Linked DNA regions of Caenorhabditis elegans. Changing the gene in region 1 together with any one later gene gives a genetic interaction. Each region holds a gene or a part of one and is shown on either strand. Other genes may lie near its edges. The genes, in order: egl-15, metl-18, rpc-2 and ZK418.6.

Region 1 (7,670 bases):
AATTTTAGACGTTGTATTATAATACTGGTGAGTTTGATCTGCAAATGAAACTTTAAAGGTTACATAGCACAACATTTATAAGTGTCATGTTAGTCTGGACACTTGACGGAGGCAAATCTGTAAGCTAACTTATGTGATTTGATGTTCTGCAACCCATTACACCAAACAAAAATGTTACAGGACAAAAACACACAACACGGAAACATGATTACCACAATGGACTTTTAAATGACATCTGATAACGGCGGAGAGACTACTATGAGTAATAGTAGTGATGCTTCTCATCATCTATAAATTCATTGAAATCGTTGCCCTGAACTTAAATGTCAGTAGCGAACTGAAAACGAACCTAAACAAGAAGCTTTGTTAGAGGGACGGTCGTACGAAGGCCAAGCTGGTGAACCGAGGGCAGAGTCGAGAGATTGGTTGGCAACACCGCTGACGGCACGAGCTAATTTATCTTGTCGAACATACCCGTTTCCGATTGGTTCGTTGAGCACTTTGTGGATGTACACTAAAAACGGTCAAAATTCGGGTTTGCTCATGCTATTGTTGTTTGATGGAATACGTTGAGAGGTTTCCGGTGTAATAATGTGATTTTTCAGCATATTGTCATTGCAGTAGAGATGATTCGGATCATTGGGTGGTTCTACAGAAAAATTGGACTCATAGTCGTCGCAAATTGTGTGTTGTGGCTGCAAAAACAGTGCTTTATGGATTCCGAATTCATAGGTTAAATTCTTTTAAAATTTAAATACGTTATGTACGAAATTACGTTTTGATCTACCTCTGATGGAAGATTCACTGGAGCTGAAAGAGGGCGATGTTTTCTCTTTTTCTGGAATGACTCCATAGGAGAAACTGGACCTGATGCCGTGGATCTTTCGGAGAAAAATTGATCCTGGAAAATATCCTCAAAAATGTTGTCACAGATGTATGACCTTACATTAAATTCTTGTGATCCCTCAATAGTCTCATTTGTCATTGTTAACATCCAATCCAAATAATCTACGATTGTTTTAAAAGATGGTCGTTCTTCCAATTTTTCTCTCCAGCAGCTGCACATCAAATGGTAGACTTCTTGGGGACATAAATGTGGTGGCTCCATTCTGCAAAAACATGTCAGACAGGTGAGATTTGCATGTTTTTCTCAATATTTTCACCTGTATCCTTCTTTGAGGTTAGCATAGAGTTCAGGCATGGCAATCGTTGGATAGGGAGTTCCACCAAGTGTCATGATTTCCCAAAGGAGAACTCCATATGACCATCTACAAAAGTATCAATGAGTCATTATAGTATTAATTTTGGTACACAACCACTGTCGTGCCCTAAAATTGCCCCAAAAAATGTAAATGGAAAACTGAAATAAAAGCGTGCCAAGAAAAATGGTGAATGCATTGTTCACAGAGTGATAGTTTTGGAAGCAATAGTATTTTTTTTTTTTGATATTCAAATTTGAATAATATATTTTTTGTTAAATTAAATTGTCGTTCAATAGTTTTTTATAACTATTTTTCCACAGGCGGGAAACAACTTCAATTCAGACATATCACAAATATATTTATGTTTAATGTTTTTCCCTAAATTAAAATCCTAAAACGTTGTATCCTAAAAACCCAAAATAAGTAAAATAAATATACAGCTATCCCGATTCAGATGCTCAGGTTGACTCAGGATGATTAACTTGTGTGAAAAGACAAATAAGACATATGTGATTATATTGAAAAATCAATTTTTTTCAAACGTGAACCTGGAAAGGACCTCCACGAAACTTTTCTACCACAGAAAACCATTACTCACACATCACTTTCCACGGTGTATACATTTGAGTCCAACGCTTCTAAAGCCATCCATTTAATGGGAAGTCTGCCGTTTCCACGTTTTCTGGAAGTAATATATCATCAGTAATATATCATTAGGAATAATGTTACAACCTATAATAATCGTTACAGTGCACATCTCTCGATAGTCCAAAATCCGATATTTTCAGAACGTGTCCATCACCGACGAGAACATTTCTTGCTGCCAAATCACGATGTATGATCTTCTTTGATGCCAAGAAGTTCATTCCTTGAGCCACTTGCCAAGCAAATTGTACAAGATGGCGTTGTGTCAAATTTGGTATGAGCTCCTAAAAATGAAAATTTCAGCAAAATTACTCTGGTAAATTTAAAACTGACTAAGACAGGTTTACTGATAATGAGCAATCAGGAAAACGCTTTTCTACAAGATTTTCAAAGTTTGATGAGTATTTCAAATTTTGTCAGTGGAAAAAATCATATTTTATTCAAAACATAAGCCACTCACAATGTCATCCTTATCAGATGCTTTTCGTGGTTCCAAATAATCCGTCAATTCTTGGCTGGACTTTTTTGCCTTCTCTTCCTTAGGTCTATGTGCTCTCAAGAAATCGCGCAAATTCCCATGCTTGCACAGCTCAACAACGACATAAAGCGGACCAGCGCCTGTACAGCATCCAATCAATCGCAACACGTTCTCATGTTCTCCTATAACTTTGAATGTTTCCATTTCACTGACCAAGTCAATGAGCTCTTTTTCGTGAGCTGACATTTTCAATTTTTTGACAGCAACTGCGATTTCCTGAAACGCAATTAAAATTTCAGATTTTCTTGTTTTTTTGTTTTCCCAAAATTACATTGTTTTCTGTTTCTTTGTATGTTGCTTTCCAAACTTCTCCAAATGCTCCCTCGCCAAGCATGTGAACCAAACTCAATCTAAACGTTGAAATTTAATGTTTAAATTGAATTCTTGTCTGGCTGAATGTATTAAAGATTTGACCCACTTTGATCTTTCAACTTCCCAAACTGGATCCGAATCAACCTCGTATTCCGAAAGAACAGTGTTTTCTGAATTCATACGTTTTCTTTGTTTTCTCGCTGCTTCTTTCTTTGTAATTGGAGTCTCTATTATTTGAATTTGATAAGGTGATGGCTCATCATCCGAATTCTCATTATCTTCATTCATTGGCCTTTTGCTAACTACGACTCTTTTTTTTCTTGCCACTAATCCAACAGTATCATCCATGAATCCTTTTTTGTGTAGTGTTTGTTTGCACACCATAAACAAAATTCCAAATAATGTTGCAGCAAGCAGTAAGAAAAGCAGAATTGTTGTAAATATATAATCGGATGTTGTCCATCTATCTATCTTCGGTTCGTCACCAGTGAGCAAATGTATGGCCATAAACTCATTCACCGTTAAAGTGGCATTCGCCATCGACTGTAAAACTCTTAATTTGTTCAACTAGAAGGTTCAATCAATTTCTTACCATCCCCAGTGAGTTTCCACTGAGACAAGCATATATTCCCTGATCATCCAGCGACACATTGAAAATAGTAAGCGTCGATTCATCACCAACGTGATGGACGTGCGCTTTCTGAAACGACACTTTTTGATAGATGAGAACATGTTTCATAACATACATCAAAAGTGTCCATCTCTGTGTAATTGAACATATACTCTTCAGCTGAATTGTTGTAGTAGCTATACGACCCATTGATTTTGTTGATGCGTACCCAAATAATATGAGGCAATAAGTCAGAGACAACTTTGCAGTGGAATGTGGCAGTGTCATTAATATTTACCTAAATATAAAACATTGAAACTATAGATGCCGTGAGGCAAAATCTTACTGATTGATTAGCCAAAATATTCGGAACGATAATGGGCGGTCTTCTCATTCTGTTGACTATGATCACATGGAAATACTTTTTTGCACTTCCAACTTTGTTCAATGCTTCACAATGAAACTCCCCAGAATCTGCTACGACAGCATCTTCCACTTCTAAAGACCATCTATTGAACTTGAATTCGTATCCGCCGGACCGAGCACTACTTTTCTTCAACATTTTGCCGTTTTTGTACCAGATAATCTGTGATCAAATGCATTGATTGAAAATCCAATGTTTCTTTACGTGAAAAATTTCAAGTTTTTCATGAATCGTACCTGTGGCTCAGGGTATCCTTTTGCGCGACAATTAAGTTTCAATGTTCGTCCTGCTGGTAGAGCATGCGTTTCATTAAACAATACAATGTTGTCGTTTGACTTGAAATATGGTGGCTCTTCCGCAGTAATATTCAGCTCAGTGAGCCCCGCATCTGGAGCAACCGGTTGTGAAACACTATAGTCTTCTTCTTCGTCTTCTTTGTTTTCTTTTTCATCAGCATTGATAAATTCGGTTCCTAAAAACAAGTTTACTGAGATATATAAGAAGAAAATGAAGCATTTAAAATAATTCAACCACTGATGTAGCCTACCCAAAGCATGATTGATCTGTCTTAATCTCAGAATGTGCCTGGCTCGAACAATTTTCTGTTCATTATTCATCTTCTCCCATCCGCCCAATTGGCTTTTCACTCTCCTCATTTCCGCAGGAGGTAGCAATTTTGGCAATAAATGACTAATATCGAATACTCGATGCTCAGTGAGCCAATCGAACAGTTTAAGTGGATCTGAAATAACTTACTGGATTCGGATGGACTTTCTTCAGAGTCATGCACGGGCACAATCACATCATCTTTTTTCAAAACAACACGCTTTACTAAAGGATCGTCCTCGGGTTTCCCAGGTAAACCAAAATCCGAAACAGGAGTAGTGTCAAATTCTTTGCAGTGATCACCAAAGCAAGGAATCATTGGCAACGGTTTTCGTGCTCTATTTATCATGCGAGATGCGTACTTTGAGCAGACTTCTCCTGTTACCGCTGCATAGTTCACATCAGATCGTTTTGCTTCTTTGTTGTATTTCCATAAACAAACACATTCCATCGGAATGTTCAAATGATGAATATCGGGAAACAGGAAGTAATCACAAAAGTCTGAAAACAAAGCACACCATGCATGGAAGAAATTATGCTTGCACTGCAAAGAATCGAGCAATAGAGATACTTACCAATAACTTCAACTGTAAAATTTCGTGATATTTGTCCATATGCGTTGTGTACGCGGCAAGACCAAAGACCCTGCAAAAATATTAGTTTTTAAACGTTTTTAAACGTTTTTAAATAAACGTTTTTTTTTAAGTTGACAGAGTCAAAAACTGCTGAAAAAAGTTCTCAGTTTGTTGGTATTTTTGAATTAATATATATTTTTGATGATGCTTAAAACTCATGGTAGTCGGTTATAGTTTTTTTTCCTATTTTCTTTCATATTATTCTTGCAGAACTAAACACGCGCAAGAGATATCACACAAACTTTAGCATCTACAAGATATTTTTTATTGGTTAAATGTTTTTTTTTAATAATTCCAAACATTTTTCAAACATTAAATCATTTTAATTATCATGTTGTATTGTTTCTTTACGGTATTTTAGGTAACTCCAGTATTTTAGGTTAAAAACAAGAAAAACCAAATTTGAAACGAGACATCGAAATACAGTTTCATAGTGTATGTTAGTCTTGAATTCCTATCAGTCTTTGCACTCTAAATTGTCAATTAAAAAAATAGAAATGCATGCAATTCTAATAGGAGAAATGCGATACTTGGTGTTCTAACCACATTGTTCAACAAAAAAAAAACCACAAAAATAATAAAAAATCATATACCTGATCTGAAACATCAATATTCTTCAAGTGAAGCATCATCCTGTTATTATCTTTCCGAATTTTGTCTTTATCTATTTGATCATTTTTGAGTAACTTGTCATTACGATACCATTCGACAAAGGCAGAAATCTTTGACGCCGCGGTTTGACAGTCAAATTTTATCTAAAACTGTGTACATCTATTGCTGTTAAATATTTGTTCCACCAAACCTCATCTCCAAGAAATACTTCGTATCTTTCGTTTGCTACATGCTTGAAACGGGGAATATTTTCTGTAAAATCGAATAATATGAAAATAAATTAGATTTTGTGACAACTCTCTTACCTCTGTAATGACTGGTCAATCCTTGAAGAGAACAAGAAACTGTAGAAAGTAAGCCCACACCGAGGCAGGATGCAAGGAAATAACTCATGATGATATGTATCAGGCAAACATTCGAATTTCTGCAATCTTTTGTATCTACTATTTATCTACTAATAATCAAAATATTAAAACACTCAGAAGGAGAAGCTGTGAAACTTTTGAAATTGAATACATGTGAGAGAGGTGAATCAGACCGGTACAAAGATTTATTTGTTGGGTTCTTACTGGTACCTCTGCGCGAGCCATGGGTTATATATTACTGGCTCCATACCCCACCACCATATGTAACAAATTGGCGACACCCGCGCAACGTTTTCAAAAGTTCCGACCCTCTGGGTCATAAGGTCTAATGATCTCTGGGAACAATCAAGAAACTAAAGCAAATCATAATTAGAACCGTCTAAATTTACGCATATGTTGCTCATAGAAAAAAAAAACGAGCAGCGAGCGGAGGGCGATAATAAAAAGAGTAAAAAGTGAACGAGCGTCAAATTGAGACGACGAAAGACGTCCAGATGTTAAGATGTTGTGGATTCGTTGTCTTCGCCGACAAGGTGGAATGACACAATGCCGTTTCGATTGATATCGAAGCAAAACCTTGAATAAGAAGTCACATCTGGAGGTGTTTCTTCCGGATGCAGTGCATATGTTACGGAAACAAAAACCTTTCAACATTTCCGGACACAATGTAACTTTTTATTGCTAGTCTTGCAGTATGATATAGCGAATAAAGTGGGTCTATCTTTTCAATGATCACGGCTATGTTATAGAGTTATGTAATTTTTTTAGAGCAATTTGAGGTTTTATAAAAACTCGTTATGTATAATAAAAACAAATTTTAGCAGCTGATGTAAGCGTAATAACGCTATGGTAACTTTTCAAAACCAACGTCATACATTGCATATAAAATAGTTTAAATTAGATCAAATTTGAGATTATAAGGCTAGTTTTCAAAATAATGAGATACTTCTTTAGTGAAACATTCTATCTAAATATTCCTAAAAAAATAAAAAGAAAATGTTCATAAAAAACTTAGGTTGTGATTAATGATTAGAACATTTAGTTATAAACCAGCTTTTTGATTATTGAAGTGTAATTTAATCTGTGCGATTTCTAGGCACTTTTTTGTAGAAGTTATGTATTATAAAATTGTAATTTCAAAACTTAATAGTTGCACAACAGGGTGTGACCAACATTCCAAGAGATGCTTATCGCGGATACGAGATGGTTAGTTGCGAGTCTAATTAATTCAAATGTCACATCATTTACTCAATTTTAACAGGTAGGTGAATGGATTTCTTGTTTCAATTTTGTCATTAAACCAGTTTGTTGCCCCCAAGAATTCCATTAGAAAAGAGTGATAAGAAAAAGAGAAGGGGGCATTACAATCATGAGACGGTAACCGACAACATAGGCGTCGGTTTTTTGTTGCTGTGGGTCTTATTTTTTGGAGTATTTGGTATGTGTCTACAGGCTAATCAATATAGAAAAATGCAATCAGAAAGTGAGAGAAAATCAAGGGAATTAGAAAAAGAAGGAGAGATAAACGAGAATGGACAATGATGAGAAAAGAGATGCGTTAAAAAGAAAAGGGGTTAGTGATTGGGCATTGCGCATAAGGCAGTCAGTCGCCAAAAATGATAGAACACGGGATAATTGTAGGCGACATATTTAGATGCAAAAGCTAATTCAATTTCGGTTTTTCTTTATTTACGCGCACCTGTTTGTGTTGCATTCCTTTA
Region 2 (4,512 bases), on another chromosome or scaffold:
AAAAATTTCCACAAAAATTGCGCGTAAAATATAGTGTTTTTCACACACACTCAATTCCTAATTTCTTTTAGGTACACGTGTCTCGTCGTAGTGTTGGTTCAATTCATTGGCATCCATTTACAATTCCAGATGCTCCAATCTCTTGTCAATGTATGTGGCCAGTGGATCGATACGGTCATCAGGAGTTCTAGTCATTTTAGCCCCTTTTTGCGCACGTGGTGTCAGGATGTCCCATTACGGTTTGATCTACAAAAAATGCGGGAGTTTTTTTCTGCCTAAAAAAAGTGACGCCATCACGTTCTTAACCATACAGCATCAGTGCAGAACTCTGCGTCTCGTCTCCCGCATTTTTTGTAGATCGACGTAGATCAAGCCGAAATGAGACACTCTGACACCACGTGTTGCTGCTTAAATTGTCAGTACAAAACGTTCCATTTTTCCCATTTTTCTCATTATTCTCTCTACTTACAAACTAATGGCGGGTAGGTGTGCATTTTACGACTGATTTTTTTTCTTGAAATGAAACAGTTTTTATTGAAAAAGGACAATTCTTGAACAACTTAACAAATAAAAAACACAACAAAAAGACGAAAAAATTCAAATCATTTTTTCCGAATCTCCACAATCCGTCTGGGCACTGAAGCGGCGATCACTTTTGCCTCAGAAGCTTGAAGAATTCCGCGTTGATTGATAAATTCGCAGAATGCTGGAACACTTCCGCCGACGCCAAAGTAGAAGAATTTCGCGGCGAACCATCTGAAATTGAAGGGCTTGAAAATGGAAGAGTTTGAATCTCTTCCATGTGTCGATTTACGCAGCTCGTGTAGTCCTCGAGGAGAAGTTTTCGGCAAAAATTCGTATTCTGTGTGGGTTTTTTCAATGAAAAGAGACTCATTTTCAAGGAAATTCAATATTTTTTATATTTTTCGACACGATTTTTTAACCAAAGAAAAATGAAATTTATTTTAATCGGAATATTAAAAAAAACAATTTTTTGGGCAGAAAACATAGATTTTTAAAAAAATTTTTATTTAAACTATTTTTATCGAAAATTATACTTAAAAACGCTAAGAAATTCTTAAGAATGGGTCTCGCCGCGAAAAAAAGTTTATGGTAAAAAATCTCAGAACTTTTTGATATTAAAAAAAGGGGAAGAAGCGTTAAAGCTAATTCAACATTTTAAAAATTTTTTCTAATTTTTAAAAAAATTTTTCGACAAAAAAGGTTGTTTGTATACAAAAACCAACAAAAAACGTTCACTTTTCGTGATCAAAATCGATTTTCTGCGATTTTTGTCTAGCAAAATTGCCAAATATCATGTTAAGTACAGAAAAAAAACGGTCTCAAGCTTTAAAAAAAAAACTCTCTTCTCCTCGAGGAATACACGAGCTGCTGCGTAAATCGACACAAACGATCTTACGCGACTCCGTCATCCTTGATTGTTGCAGCGACCGCATCGTGGAGAGCTTGATAGTCATCTTCGTTGTAAATGGTTTCCGATGAGAGAATGAAGTCGAATCTGGTAAATGGAATATAACATAAAGTTCTGCGTCTTAGGCCCCCCCCCCCCCCCGTCTCCAGCCGGGCGCTATACAAAACGTCCACCAAGACGAGTCTACATCGCCGCCCGGTTAGCTCAGTCGGTAGAGCACCAGACTCTTAATCTGGTTGTCGCGGGTTCGAGCCCCGCATTGGGCTGATGTCTTTTTGCTGCTTACTTTCTTCCGCTCAATCGATTCGGAACCTCTTCCCATCCCATTGCTTCTCCTTGAACAACTGCTGAATGCGGATTTTCTTCGAAGTTTGGAAGTGTGAAGAACTCGATGACTGACGCGTTCTGCAATGTTTTAGATTAATTTTTTGTTTTAACTCATCTCGTAGACTTACAAAGTCCTGAGCGAAAACTTCCTTAGCTCCGTGTACCGCCGTGAGAATTGATGGAAGAGCTGCTCCACAGCCGAGCTCTAGAACTGATTTTCCGGCGAAAAGCGTTTGATTTTCTTCGATATAGTCGCAAAGATCGACGGTGCATTCCCAGATCTGCAAATTTATTTATTAAGTAAAAATTAAATTTAAAAAAAAACATTAAATTTTTATATTAGAAGAATTTTTTTTTTTTTTGCAAAATTGGATTTAATTTCAAAATTTCAATTTTTTTCTCAAATTTTTTTCTGAAAGAAAATTGAAAAAAAACGCTATTCTCAAAATTTTTATGCCACTAGATTTCGAACGCTTCAAATTAAAAAAAAATCGCAAATAGAATTCAAAAAAACATTTTTTCTGAAAATTTGAATTTCTAAATATAAAATTCGCAGAAAATCCAAATATATATTTATTTTGAATTTTTTAAAATTTTGGGAAAAAAAATTCAAATTTCAATTAGAATCAGTGAAAAACACGAAAAATAGGACCTAGTTTATCGGATAATTTCACAAAAATTTCTGAAAAATTCTCAAAATTATTTTTAAAAATTCCAGAAAAAAGGAGACTCAAAAAATTTAAAATGCAGAAAAAATCTAATTTTTTCAAATTTTTTAAAACAATATTTTATCGATTTTTTTTCGATTTTTTAAAATTTTCTTATGTTTGTTCAAGTTATTTCCATTTTTTTTTCACTTTCCCAAATAATTTTTTTTAATTAAAAAAACTCCAATTTTCAGTCAAAAATGTCGTTTTTTTTCTAAAATTCACGTCACAATCAGCACCTTAAATCCACCCTCATATTTGTGAACTGTAATATCGGACGTTTCCATATTTTCCAGCTCTTTTTTGTATCTTTCTTCTCCATTAAGCTCATCAATTCCCATTCGAATTTCCACTTCGTTCAAGTAGGAGATTTCTCGGCCATTGGTGAGCTTCAGCACGTTCATTCTGAAAAAATCTGGAATTTTTCGAAAAACTTGATTTTTTAAAAATTTTGGAATATCTGGAAATGTTTCAAAAAACCCGGAAGTTTTTAAAAAATTCTGAAATTTTCCAAAAAATTTGATCTTTTTTTTTTTGAAAAATATGATTTTTTTTAATCTGGAAATTTCCCGAAAAATATCAACTATTTTTCAAAAAATCTGAAAAAAAATTTTTTAACCCGATAAAATATCAAAATTGGTAAAAATCTAACGCAAGTTTGAAAAAATAAAAATAATTTTTTTTTTCGAAATAAATTAAAAAATTTTATTACATATATATTTCTCGTATATATACACAATAAATTGTTCGAAAAAAAATTGAAATAAAAATCTAAAAATTTTTCGGCGATTAATCACAGTCGTTGGGAGGATAAAGCAGAACAATATAGAGGAAACAGAATTTCTACGAAAAAAAAAATTATTTTTAAAAAAATTAGAAAAAAATCGGGGGATATTGTTTTCAAAAATCTAATAACCGGTAGGGGGTATATCCAAAAAAAAGAATTTTGTTAATTTGAAAAATATTGAAAAAAAAACTCTAATTACGGGGGTTAATCTAAAAGAAGACGTAATTTTGCCTGTAATTGGCTAATTTTCTCTCAGTGTCGATTTACGAGCGTTTTTTTTGATAGACAATTCGAAAAATTCCAATTTTTAGAAATTTTTTTTTTTTGTGGAAAATTTAAAAATTAGTTTTTTTGAATTTTTTTTGAAGAAAAAACTAATATTGCGATTATCGCAGAAAATTTTTTAAAAATAATTTTTCAAAAAATCGGTTCAAAAAATTCAATTTTCGGTTTTTTCCATAGAAAATATTGAAAAAAAAATCCAAAAATTTTCGACAAAAATCGTAAGCTCCGCCCATTTCTTGGCTATCACATTCTGAGAGAAAATTAGTCAGTTTCACACACAAAAAAACATGAAAAATGAGAGAAAATTGAGCAAAAATTAGAGTTTCGAATTATCGATTCAACGCATGGCTAACAGTTCCACCAACAGCTGCCGCCCAGCTTGCCTGCCTTGATTCTTCACTGCTTATCACATTTTTCATTTGAGACTCGTCGAATCGGGCCACAGTTCCAATTACACGGGCCAATGTCTGCAAAAATTTAGAAAAATTAGTTCAAATTTTACGAGATGAGCCAAGAAATGGGCGGAGCTTAAACTAAACATTTCAAAAAAATTGACTTAATTTTATTTTTTGAAAATTTTAAATTTTCTTTTTAAATTAAATTAATTTTAAATTCTCCGCCCATTTATTGGCAATTTTTCAAAAATTTTAGAAGTAGCTCCGCCCATTTATTGGTTTTTTTTACTTTTTTTCTAGATTAAGCTCCGCCCAATTATTGGCAATTTTTCGGAAAAATTTCAGTGTAAAATTGCATGAAAATCATGATTTTTCACCCAAAAATTCAAAAATTCAATTTCCCCTTACCACAGATTCTTTTCCAAGAGATTCTCGATTAGTCATGTATCGATATAGTACATTTCGTAGATATTCAGCTTCTGCCGGATCAGCAATTCCGTGTAATTCCATAGATTTCGTTCTGCCAGTTGAAGCATTTCCATTGGATCGTGGCGTCTTCTCGTTCCGTGAGACTTGCAT
Region 3 (7,786 bases), on another chromosome or scaffold:
TCTGCCAGAAGATGTCGTTCTCCGTGAGCGCCGCCGCCAAGTCGGAAATCCTTGTCGACACACACGGATCGAAGAAGGTGGTTACATTGAATAGGCCTAAAGCGCTAAACGCGTTGAACCTCGAAATGGTACGAGAGTTTTATCCCAAACTTCAAGCCTGGAATTCATCTTCCGATGTGGATCTTGTCATTTTGAAAGGATCCGGTGATAAGGCGTTCTGTGCTGGAGGAGATGTTCTTGCCGTTGTGCGATCTTTCAAAGATTCGGAGAGTGGAAAAGAGTGCACAATGCACAAGGATTTCTTCCGCGAGGAGTACATTTTAAATCATTTAATTGGAACTTTGAATAAGCAATACGTTTGTCTGATTGATGGAATTGTGATGGGAGGAGTAAGTTATCTGCAACTATTTTCTTTTCAATTTTTTAAAAAACTTGTTTCAGGGTTGTGGTCTTTCTGTAAATGGACGTTTCCGAGTTGCCACTGAGAAAACAATGCTAGCAATGCCAGAAACCGCACTTGGACTCTTCCCAGACGTCGGTGGATCCTATTTCCTTTCAAGGCTCAAGGGAAACCTCGGAATGTACTTGGCACTCACTGGATATCGTCTTCTAGGTGCTGACGCTTTCCATGCTGGTCTTGCCACTCATTTTGTGGAGTCTTCGGAACTTGCGAAATTGGAAAAGGAACTTGTGAATATTAAGGATGTGACAGAGAACTCTGTCGATGAAGTCATCAGATCGTTCGAGCCAAAGAAGATTCCAGAATTCAGTCTGTCCAAGAATTTGGCTCAAATTAGAGATTCCTTCAAAGCAAAGTAAGATATTTTGTCACCAAGATCACGTGTATTTGAGTTGGAACAAATTAAAAAGTAGCATTTCATCGAATTGATTTATTATTGTTTCTCAGATAATATTAGTTTTAAGCAAAAACTAGGAAAGGGCCAGTTTTGAGGATTCGATAGCACACAAAAAATTACATTTGCCTAAGATATATAAAATAATTGATTTTTCAGAAGCGTCGAAGAAATCCTCGCAAGCCTCGAAAAAGACGGATCCGACTGGGCAAAGAAGCAAGCAGCCACTCTAGGAAAAATGAGCCCAACTTCCCTGAAAGTAACTCACCGACAAATCACCGAAGGAAGCAAGATGAGCTATGCAAAGATCTTCACAATGGAGTATCGTCTCACTCAACGATTCCTCGCCGATAAGGATTTCCATGAAGGGTGCCGAGCCAGTGAGCAGAGATTTTGTAGGGTTTCATTGAAAATTTGACTCATTTTTCAGTTCTCGTTGACAAGGATCGCAAGCCAAAGTGGAATCCAGCGACGTTGGCTGATGTGAAGGATTCTGTCGTCGATAACTATTTCTCGCCATTGCCAAATAATTCTGATTTAAAATTGTAGAGGCCAGAATTAGCGGAAAATTGAATTTTTAATGGAAAGCTAAAAAATCAGGGAAACCCATAATTTTTATCGGATTTCCTCGTTTTCCTATCTTTTCACCCAAAATGTTGATTTTCCCCCATAATTTTTACCATTTTAATAGGAACCCCTTATGTATTTATTTTTAGAAAAATGTCTAGCTATAATTTAATTTTTCCGGGTGTACAAATAATTTCCGTGCCTTTTTCAGCTATTCGCCGTATGAATATAAAGTTTTTTTTTGTTTTTGAATTTTATTTCCAGATTTCTATTGCAAACTGTTATTTTCTGTTTTTGTACCTCTTTTTCAAATAATTTTTATTCTAGAATTTCAGATTTTCAATACCAATTTTCAGATGACAATTGGCCAAGTGAACGGCCGCGCTCGCATAAAATCCGAGTGCGGCAAGGATCAGAAATGCATGCCACTCGAGGACAAATGGCTTCTCGTTCCCGCGTTTTTGAAAGTTCGAGGACTCGTCAAACAGCATCTCGTCAGTTTCGATCATTTCGTGCAGGAGGAGATCCGAAGTATCATGCTCTCCAATCAGAAGATCACTTCCGATGCAAATCCAAACTTTTATCTCAAATATTTGGATATTCGAATCGGAAAACCCAGCAGTGAGGAGGGTCTCAACATGACTCACGATAAGATTACCCCTCAAGAATGTCGACTACGAGATATGACCTACTCGGCGCCAATTTCAGTGGATATTGAGTACACACGTGGTAATCAAAGAGTATTCAAGAAGGATCTGATCATTGGTCGAATGCCGATTATGCTTCGTTCGAGTAAATGTATTCTCAGAGATCTTGCCGAAGAAGAGCTTGCAAGAGTTCAAGAATGCCCATATGATCCAGGAGGTTATTTTGTGGTCAAAGGAAGTGAAAAGGTTATCCTGATTCAAGAACAACTCTCCAAAAATCGTATTATGGTTGGAAGAAATTCAAGTAAAGAACTGCAGTGTGAAGTACTTTCGTCGACGTCCGAGAGGAAAAGTAAGACATATGTGACTATGAAGAAGGGTAAATATTCTGTTCGCCACAATCAGCTCACCGATGATGTACCAGTTTCCATCATTTTCAAGGTAAATTTTGAGAATTTTGATGACAACTGAAAAAAAAAATGTTCGGCATTCATTCCTAAATATTTTATTTAAAAAAAAAAACATCCAATACAAAAACATTCTCCGAAAAATATTTTTCCAAATTTTGATGCAAAAAATATTCTCAAAAAATGTTTTAGAATAAAAAATAATGAAGCTTTCTTTCTTTCTGATTGTGAGAAACTGAACATTTTACGATATTTTCAATCGAAATTCCTCAAAAACATTTATTATCGAATCTGGAGTTTTTCAGATTTTTTTTTCCAAAATTCGAGTTCGCTTTTTTTAATTCAAGAAAATTATTACAAAAAATAGGGAAAATTTTAAAAAAAGTGTAGCATTATGTTAAAACAAAAACTAAAAACCGCTTCCTTTTCAAAGTTTCAATTTTCCAGGCGATGGGAGTCGAATCAGATTTTGACATTGTGAGTACAATCGGTCACGAGGAGAAGTACGTTTCAGCATTTGCTCAAACTCTCGAAGAATCCATAAATGCCGGAGTTTATACCCAACAGCAGGCACTCGCATATGTTACCTCAAAAGTCAAGGCTCGTAAATTCACACCATTCGGATCACTTCCAGGAACTTCAGTGAGCGTCTTGACTCCACCGAAAGAACACGAAGCAGTCGATTTTCTGTCCAATTCAATGATCACACATATTGCTTGCCCAGATGGAAATTTCAAAATGAAGGCGATTTATTTGGGATTAATGACAAGACGACTGATTCAAACGGAACTCGGAGAAAATGGGCTTGATGATCGGGATTTCTACGGAAATAAACGTTTGGAGCTCGCTGGATCATTGCTTTCGTTGCTGTTTGAGGATGTATTCAAAAGATTCAACTCTGAACTGAAAAGAATTGCAGACAATGCGTTGATGAAGACAATGGCTGCACCATTGGATATTGTGAAGCATATGAGACAAGATATGATTACGAATACTATAGTGAATGCTATGTCGACAGGAAATTGGATTATCAAAAGATTCCGAATGGAACGACTTGGTGTTACACAAGTACTAAGTAGATTGTCATATATCTCAGCACTTGGTATGATGACAAGAATCAACTCGACTTTTGAGAAAACTCGAAAAGTCTCTGGTCCTCGATCCCTTCAACCATCTCAATGGGGAATGCTTTGTCCGAGTGATACTCCTGAAGGTGAAGCTTGTGGTCTTGTGAAGAATCTCGCTTTGATTAGTCACATTACAACTGATTCCGATGAGAAACCCGTTCTCAGATTGTTACTCAATTCGGGAGTCGAGGATTTACATAATGTGCATTTCTCGCATGTCAATAAGCCGTGAGTTTTTACAAATTAAAATTTTAAGTGTGAAATCTTGAAAAATAAAAGTTTTGAGAATGCTAGTTTTGAAAAAATCGCATATTTTAATCAATTTTTATAAATTTCTAAAATAAATTATCAATTTCATAAAAATTAGATTTCAAATCGAGTTAAGGTTTGACAATTTTTGAAAATTACTAGATCCATTTTTTTGTGTTTTTTCCTAAAAAAAAGGTTATTTTTATCGAAAATTTTCAGTGAAAACACGTTGATCTTCTTAAACGGAGTGCTCATTGGAACAGCTGTGGATCCAGAAAGAGTGGTGAAAGCCGTCAGAGATTTGAGAAGGTTTCAACAAAAAAATGTTGCCAAAAAATTCATCGAATTTCAATTTCAGAAGTGGACTCCTGTCAGAATTTGTTTCAGTATCCCGTTCTCTAACCAATCGTTCTGTTTTCATTTCATCAGACGGTGGCCGCCTGTGTCGACCATATATTATTGTCAAAAACGGAACTCCAATGCTCACACAGGCTCACGTGCAGGAACTGAAAGAGGGAAAAATGATTTTTGAGGATTTTGTTGATGACGGAATTGTCGAATATTTGGATGTAAATGAGATGAACGATGCGTTGATTGCCGTTTATGGGAGAGAAATTGGCCCAGAAACTACACATTTGGAGGTACGTTTTTGAACTTTGTGAATCTAAAAATGAAAAAAATTAAATCGAAAACTGGTTGTTCTTTCCTGTAAAGAAAATTCAAAAAATTTGGTAAAATTTGTCTGAAACTTAAAACTATGTGAAAAAAGTTTAAATTCTCATTTTTTTAAATATAAAAAATTGAAAATCAAATTATTTAGAGCTCTAAAATTCTATAATTCAAGGAAATTCCAACATTTAAAGATTTTTATCCTTAGTTTAAAATAAAATTTGCACTTTTCAGTGTCTGAGCTATTAATAATCTTTCAAAATTTCCAGATTGAGCCATTTACTCTTCTTGGAGTGTGTGCTGGTCTTATTCCATATCCACATCATAATCAATCTCCACGTAATACTTATCAATGTGCTATGGGTAAACAAGCAATGGGAACAATTGCCTATAATCAACAGAAAAGAATTGATTCAATTATGTATCTTTTATGTTATCCACAGAGACCACTCGTTAAGTCAAAGGTTCGTTAAAATTGAAATATTTTAAAATTTATGAAAAAAATTTGATTAAAAAATGCATGTTTCATTTATTGAACTAATGTTTGTGGAGAGATATCGTTAATAATCCTGAAAATAAAAATAAATCAATTTCCTGAATTCCGAAAAATAAAAAAATCAAATCGGAAGTATCCGCTATATCTTTCTAATCAATTATTCTATTCAGAAATTTTTAATTTGTTTTTCTTTTAGAAAATTATCAATTGTTCAAACTTTTTACATCACAATTTTCCAGACAATCGAACTGACAAACTTTGAAAAACTGCCGGCCGGCGCGAATGGAATCATCGCAGTGATGTCATACAGTGGTTACGATATCGAAGATGCTCTTGTGCTCAATAAAGCTTCACTGGATCGTGGTTATGGTCGTTGTCTGGTCTACAAACATGTGAAGGGAACCGCCAAAAAATATCCGAATCAGACATTCGATCGTCTTCTAGGACCAGCATTGGATCCGAACACGAGAAAACCAATTTTCAAGCACAAAAATCTCGATCAAGAGGGTATTGTATTCGCCGGAGCACGTATTATGCCGAAACAGACGATTATCAATAAGCACATGCCAGTTGTCAGTGGAGAAAGTGGTCCTGGAGCGTCGGCTTCTGCCAATACAAGTATGTTGAAATGAGCATGACGAATTTGTATAAGGAAAATAAAAACGGAATGTACAGTTTCGAGAAGACATCTATTTTTTTAAAAGTTTTACGAAAAAAAACACGAAAAATATAAAAAAAAAAGAATAATAAACAATTCCCAGACCAACCTCGTAAAAATGAAAGCGAGTTTTCAACAGAAACCCTGTTTTAAAACTTTTTCCAAAAAATCTGAAGTATTTATAGCATTTTTTAATTTTTACCAATTAAACAAATGTTTTAAAAAAAAACTCAAAGAAACTGTCTCCGTTCTTTTTTGCGAATATAAATTTTCTAACTTTTTTACGTTCACAATTAAATAAAACTTGACATTTATTCCGTTCAAATATTCAATTAATTTAATTTAAAACGAAAATTTAAATATAAAACTCTGAAAAAGTAAAAAAAAAAACGTTCACTAACAATTCTTTAAATTTTCAGTCGGAATCGCTGGACGCCAAGTTGACTACAAAGACGTCTCGATCACGTATAAAACTCCAACTCCATCATATGCGGAACGAGTTCTTCTTACCTATAATGAAGATGAAGCTCATTTATTCAAAGTTCTTCTTCGACAAACCCGTCGGCCAGAACTTGGAGATAAATTCTCATCTCGACACGGACAAAAAGGAGTATGCGGATTGATTGCTCAACAGGAAGATATGCCATTTAATGATCTTGGAATGGTGCCAGATATGATTATGAATCCTCATGGATATCCATCTCGAATGACTGTCGGAAAATTAATGGAATTGTTATCTGGAAAAGCTGGAGTAGTGAATGGAACATATCATTATGGAACAGCATTTGGTGGAGATCAGGTTAAAGATGTCTGTGAAGAATTGGCTGCTTGTGGTTATAATTATATGGGAAAAGATATGCTGACAAGTGGAATTACTGGACAACCATTATCTGCTTATATCTACTTTGGACCAATCTATTATCAGAAGCTCAAGCATATGGTTTTGGATAAGATGCACGCCCGTGCCAGAGGACCGAGGTGTGGAGAGATTTTGAATTTAGATAATGTCTTGTCTGGAAATTCTGAATTTTGGAAAGAATTTTCAATTAAATATTTAAAAATTAAGTTTAGCAACAAAATCTGAAAAAGAAAAATTTTTAGAACAGTTAACTCTGCATTTTCCAACTTTCCTTTAAAACTTTTGATGTAAAACAATGAGGAATTGCAACATTTTTTTAATTAGAAAATTTGGTATCAATCAAAATTCACTTATTTTTATCATGGTTAAAATTTCGAAAAAAGCCAAATTGAAAAAGTTCTGAAAAAGGAATTGACAAAATGCTCGAAGCTTAGGAAATTAGGGGAAAAAAGAATCAATTTTTCATAGTGGAAATACATTTTTTTCAAATCCAATTCGCGGAAATGTTATGCATATTTTGGAACAAAAAAAACCATTTTAATTTTTCTCACATTTTTTAAATTAAAAAAAAAACTTTTTTTAAAAATTTTTTTCAATTTATTCTCAGAGTTTCTTTTAAAAATCTATAAATTTTCAGAGCCGCATTGACTCGCCAGCCAACAGAAGGAAGATCACGAGAAGGAGGTCTACGTCTTGGAGAAATGGAACGTGATTGTCTCATTGCCTATGGAGCATCGATGCTGCTTATTGAGCGTTTGATGGTGTCATCAGATGAGTTTAAGGTAAATTCCCTTACCGAGTTTTTTTTAAAAGTTTGCTACTTTTGTGTGTGTGCGCGCAATTTTTGCTCATCATTACACTAGCCGTAACACTCTCAAGTGGTTCTTTTTTGCGAAAATGAGGAGCGAAACTGTTGCGGGAGAGACTGGGAGAAGCCTTGCGTGGGTTGACTTTGCGGGTCGACTTTTCTTGGAAACTGGGTTGACGTTTTTTGGAAAGGTTCTTGAAAATTTTTGATTTACCGCAGAGAAAATTATGGATTTTGTTTGATCATGAGAGAATACATTTCCCGACTTTTATCTGAAAATATCGAAAAAAAAGGTCGGAAACCGATTATTAATTTTTTTTTGAACTCCCACTTTTTTATAAGAACAGAGAAATCGATTTTAAAAAAAGCATTTTCCCTAAAAACTTTTTAAAAAAAGCAAAACTTTCTATTTTAATGGCTCTGAATCTCTGTTGCTCGGAAGTTA
Region 4 (4,521 bases), on another chromosome or scaffold:
TTACTATTCACATATGTCTGCGGGCCAGACAATAAAACACCTTTTGGTGTTCGTTCCAAAGTTTAACATTGCGGACACACGAAATTAGAAATCTTCGTATTGCGATTGACCGATTTCGTTATGAATTATACGCACATCGCGATGTAATTGTGATGTCCCGTGGCCGCGAGAAAAAAAACTGATGGCCGAGTGTTCCCTTCTCACGGCCATGTGACAAAAGCCGATCTTTCCCCCACCTGCGGATTCTTGGCGGCCTCTCGTTTTTTCTTCTTTTCTGAGGCTTGCTGCATTTGTCCTATTGTTACCAAGTTATGAATAACGCCAATTTGAGGAATGCGTGTTGAAATTGGTTGAATAAATTGAAATTGAATCAAGATAACTTTTTTTCGCACGGTTTCGAAAAATGAAACGAATTAAAAGTGAACACGTTTTGAATAATTTAGTTAAATTGTGTGTTACTAGATTTACAAATGAAATGTTTTTTTTTGGTTGATATTTTGAACTTTTGTTATTACAGGAGGTAGATTTTTTATTGTGTAAAACTGATTAAATATTCACAACTTTTCGACTTCAGAGTGGTCCTCTGAAACTTCTGTGATTGATGTGGTTCTTTCTTTAGATTTCCTAAAAATCGATGGAAATTTTGAAAATTGTTTGATGAAAACGCCTCGCAGCTTTTTGTCCGATAATATATTAATGACAGGATCAGCAATCATAGCGATAAGCCTGAAAAATATCTCGTGTAACAATATCATATAGATTTTCTCAACTTACCAAACAATCGCTGATATACTTGCCATCATTTCAACGTCAATAAGGAGATAACTTAGACGAAATGTTTTACAGGGACTTTTACATCCTTCTCCTAATGATGAAAGCTCTTTCAGATTTACAAGTGCAACTATACAAACAATAAGAATAGGAATAGTTCCAATGGCAAAAGTTATCATATTCATACTCAATCGACGCATCGCAATCATACCTTAAAATCAGAAAGTTCTTCTTTATTTAAATAGAATTGTTGTGGGATAGAGGCATCTAGAAAGTTCTAAAAAGATGTGAAGTATAGATTAATGAAAGATATTAATTTCTTATTTTCTTGAGGAAATGTTAACAATACCAGGAATTAAATATCCACAGCACACGAGCTTTGAATTTTTTTTTTCAAATACATTTAAAAAATGATCTTTTGAGTTATCTCCGGCAAAGAAAAGTAGAAATTGTCAAAAACTCTCGTAAATCGAAAAAGCAGAAAAAGAACCCCAAAATCATTAAATTTCAATCCAAAACTTACTATTTGAATTGCATCTAGCTTGAACCATAGAAGACTTTCGAACTAATTGATGAATTCTTGCCATCATTGCAATATATAAACCGATTACTGTACCATAACATATCGATAACATAATCACTATCACAATTGCAAGCGGCTGCTGACAAGATTCAAATGAGCAGGTAAAAGGAGCAGAGTCTGGATAGAAAAGTGTTGCTCCCCACATTCCAACAAAAACCTAGAATACTATTTTTTTTTACTAATCACAATTGATGGACAAGAAAACAAACAGATGTAACAGTTGATATTATCCAAATTAATCCAATAATTAGCCAGCAATGTGTAAGAGTTATCGTAGTCATATAGGAAATGTGATGGGCTACGGCCATATATAAAATTACTGTCAGAACTATATAGATACCTGGAATGCTTAAATGAAAGTTTTAAGATTTCTAAATTAGCGATTAAACGAACCAGTAATTGACATAAACGTGCTACCTCCGATAATAATAAAAATCATTGCTGAAACATAATTAAATCCGTTAACTTTCCAAACAATAAGTATAACATAAAATAATACAATGGCAAAGATATTTGATGATGATCGACTCATTAGGAATGCCTCTCTTTTTTTGAAACTGAAAATGTTTAACTTGCAGAGATTTCGCTAACAATTCTCATACCCCATAGTTTCATATCTAAAACATTTGATTTGAGCTATCAAGTATCCTAGATTTATAATAAATGTGATAATTGACAAAACCATCGGTATGATGGCAAGAAAATAAGTGCTAAACGTGTCTGATCGATGGAGTTCCTGGAAAAATGTAATTTACGTTGTTTTCAGAATGACAAAAGGTTTAAAAAAAAGTTGATGAAACTTCAAAATAGAGTGTGAAGCTAAAGTAAACTAATTAGCTCTATAGAGTAGAAGTCCAGCAAAGGAAACATATTTTTTCTCCAAGTTTTATTCTTCAAATACGCTTTAAGTATTTGTACTGTATAATTACATGGTTTCGAACTTTCAACAAATTTCAAAGTTACTCAAAAATTCAAGTTTTAGTTGAAAATCAGACAATTTGCCAAAAGTTTGCCAAAACAAAATGTTGAAATACACTACTGGTATACACTACTTAAATGTTGGTATACACTACTTAAATACATCTAGAACAAGAGCTAGGATTCTAGAGCTTTGCTAGAACATTTTCAAGATATCTCCACTTTAATTCATACCTTTAACAAATAACACGGATCCGTCTCCTTATCGATGTCACACGTTGCATAAATTTCGTCCCCATCCACAAAATATTGAGAGCAGTTCTGATAATTAGTTAATATATTTATTTTTCCATGACAGACGATAGAGAAAATAGCACAGCGTGTGAAATCTAATACATTATGCTGGGGGTTCGCAATCGAATCAAAATTTACCTGAAAAATGAATGGAATATCATCTATCATTCCACCAACTCCTTTTTTGTATGAACATTGTTCTCCAAACATTTCTAAAATATCTCAAATTTAAAGAAGGGAAAACAAACGTTTATCAATAGAGCACACATGCTACTCGAAGAAAACGTAGATTTTTTAAATGTACAACAGTAATAATGCAACTATTTATCAATAAACCATGAGACCAGCAAACCAACAATTCAAAATAACCAGAAAAGTGAAATATGGAACCCGTAGTAATATTACTAGCTCTATAGAGGATTTAAAATTCTAAACGGCGTGAATCAAATAATTATTGATCATCCGTAGAGATTGTGGATTTTGTGGAAGCTCGGCGAATTCGTTGTGAGACCCGGTTAATCTGTTTGGCGAATAATCCACGCATCTTTTTATCAGCCAAAATGTTTATAACTGGATCGATTATCATTGCAATTAGCCTGTAAATAACTGCAATTTTTAGAATTATGTACCTCAAAACTTACCAAACAATTGCAGCGACACTTGCCAAGATTTCCACTTCAACAAAGAGAGAACTGTGCAAAAAAGTCTTACAAGGGCCTTTACTCCCTTCTCCCAATGATGATAACTCTCGAAGATTTGCAAGAGCAACAATACAAACAATAAGAATAGGAATACTTCCAATTGCAAATGTGATCATATTCAATCCAAGTCGTTTCATTGCTGTCATACTATTTGAATTTGATCGTGCTTGAATCATTGAAGATTTTCTAACGAGACGATGTAATCTTGCCATCATTGCAATGTAAAGACCAATTACTGTACCATAACATAGAGATAAACCAACAACTATGATTATGGCTAATGGTTGTTGGCATTTCTCAAATGAACAGGATATTGGAGCAGATTCTGGGTAGAAAAGAGTTGCTCCCCATAGGCCAATGCATATCTGGAAACGTTTTTCAACAATTAAAATTATTTACATATTCCTAGGCAACAGAAAGTCGCTGATAAAAGTTTTTTTCAAATCTCAATTACAATTGGAACAGTTTCGCGATAATTTTCAAAGTGAAGAAATTCTTAAAATTTGTCTTAAATTACTACAATTTGAAACTGGAAAAACTTACAGATGAAGCTGCCGAAAGCAGCCAAATCAATCCAATAATAAGCCAACAATGTGTGAGAGTTAGTTTTGTCATGTACCAAAACTGATGTGCAATTGCTGTGTAGAGAAGGATTGTGAGACCGATGTAGGTACCTATAAGGTGCAAGTTATAGTGATTTTAGTTGAATACGAAAGTTTTAGATGCAAACAATTTCAGATGAAACAGATAAAACCTTACCTGTTACTGATAAAAAGTTGATTCCTCCAATTAGAATGAAAATCATTGCAGATGTATATACAAATCCGTTGGCTTTCCAAACGATAACAACCACGTAGAATAACAAATTAGCCAGAATAATTGACAGAGATCGACTTATAAGAAACACTTGACGCTTTTTGAAACTGAATATATTTTATATAACACAGACAGTTTCAATTATATAATACCTAGTTTTCTCCTGCGTAAAACATTTCAATTGTGCAATTAAATATCCAATGTTTAGAAGACACGCTATAACTGAAAAGATAATGGGAAGAATTGCCAGAAAATAAGTACGGAATTCCTTCGCTCGGTGGACTTCCTAAATTTATATTATTGTAGAAAACCCTTCAAGTTTCAATCTCGCAACTAACCTTGAGCAAGTAGCATGGATCGGTTCCATTTTCGATGGGACATTCCGCGTATTTTTCATCTTTGCCGAAGATAAATATACTCGAGCAGTTCTGAAATATT

What was found.
Region 2: changes in egl-15 (region 1) and metl-18 together harm fitness more than expected from each alone (negative genetic interaction), as found in Caenorhabditis elegans (one large-scale study listed by BioGRID).
Region 3: changes in egl-15 (region 1) and rpc-2 together harm fitness more than expected from each alone (negative genetic interaction), as found in Caenorhabditis elegans (one large-scale study listed by BioGRID).
Region 4: changes in egl-15 (region 1) and ZK418.6 together harm fitness more than expected from each alone (negative genetic interaction), as found in Caenorhabditis elegans (one large-scale study listed by BioGRID).

The regions. Positions count from the first base shown.
Region 1 is NC_003284.9:11,014,748-11,022,417, reverse strand, and holds the start of egl-15 (receptor protein-tyrosine kinase), read right to left. Parts: upstream 6,019-7,670; 5' UTR 5,978-6,018; coding exon 5,890-5,977; intron 5,837-5,889; coding exon 5,775-5,836; intron 5,728-5,774; coding exon 5,566-5,727; intron 4,983-5,565; coding exon 4,913-4,982; intron 4,839-4,912; coding exon 4,488-4,838; intron 4,474-4,487; coding exon of another isoform or gene 4,279-4,473; intron 4,204-4,278; coding exon 3,968-4,203; intron 3,894-3,967; coding exon 3,654-3,893; intron 3,606-3,653; coding exon 3,444-3,605; intron 3,398-3,443; coding exon 3,290-3,397; intron 3,241-3,289; coding exon 2,804-3,240; intron 2,736-2,803; coding exon 2,657-2,735; intron 2,602-2,656; coding exon 2,308-2,601; intron 2,132-2,307; coding exon 1,935-2,131; intron 1,885-1,934; coding exon 1,801-1,884; intron 1,269-1,800; coding exon 1,164-1,268; intron 1,110-1,163; coding exon 947-1,109; intron 902-946; coding exon 788-901; intron 696-787; coding exon 569-695; coding exon of another isoform or gene 525-568; and 7 more. UniProt on the Caenorhabditis elegans protein: Receptor tyrosine kinase required for larval development. May phosphorylate adapter protein soc-1 which in turn may result in the recruitment and/or activation of phosphatase ptp-2.
Region 2 is NC_003281.10:3,424,099-3,428,610, reverse strand, and holds metl-18 (protein-histidine N-methyltransferase), read right to left. Parts: upstream 2,874-4,512; 5' UTR 2,871-2,873; coding exon 2,706-2,870; intron 2,041-2,705; coding exon 1,888-2,040; intron 1,838-1,887; coding exon 1,719-1,837; intron 1,713-1,718; exon of another isoform or gene 1,619-1,712; intron 1,520-1,618; coding exon 1,421-1,519; intron 757-1,420; coding exon 603-756; 3' UTR 517-602; downstream 1-516. Other genes in the region: K01A11.1 (Spaetzle domain-containing protein), read left to right, coding at 72-191; golg-4 (GRIP domain-containing protein), read right to left, coding at 3,868-4,005, 4,342-4,512.
Region 3 is NC_003281.10:5,555,588-5,563,373, forward strand, and holds the start of rpc-2 (DNA-directed RNA polymerase subunit beta), read left to right. Parts: upstream 1-1,777; coding exon 1,778-2,509; intron 2,510-2,922; coding exon 2,923-3,830; intron 3,831-4,070; coding exon 4,071-4,160; intron 4,161-4,209; coding exon 4,210-4,492; intron 4,493-4,789; coding exon 4,790-4,984; intron 4,985-5,255; coding exon 5,256-5,634; intron 5,635-6,093; coding exon 6,094-6,652; intron 6,653-7,170; coding exon 7,171-7,315; intron 7,316-7,786. Other genes in the region: hach-1 (3-hydroxyisobutyryl-CoA hydrolase, mitochondrial), read left to right, coding at 1-389, 442-815, 1,014-1,234, 1,285-1,403.
Region 4 is NC_003281.10:7,076,060-7,080,580, forward strand, and holds ZK418.6 (G-protein coupled receptors family 1 profile domain-containing protein), read right to left. Parts: upstream 2,779-4,521; 5' UTR 2,777-2,778; coding exon 2,705-2,776; intron 2,594-2,704; coding exon 2,507-2,593; intron 2,091-2,506; coding exon 1,957-2,090; intron 1,912-1,956; coding exon 1,748-1,911; intron 1,695-1,747; coding exon 1,564-1,694; intron 1,512-1,563; coding exon 1,295-1,511; intron 983-1,294; coding exon 775-982; intron 727-774; coding exon 555-726; 3' UTR 513-554; downstream 1-512. Other genes in the region: ZK418.13 (Pollen-specific leucine-rich repeat extensin-like protein 1), read right to left, coding at 237-290; ZK418.7 (G-protein coupled receptors family 1 profile domain-containing protein), read right to left, coding at 3,018-3,162, 3,208-3,632, 3,811-3,941, 4,027-4,190, 4,236-4,369, 4,422-4,511.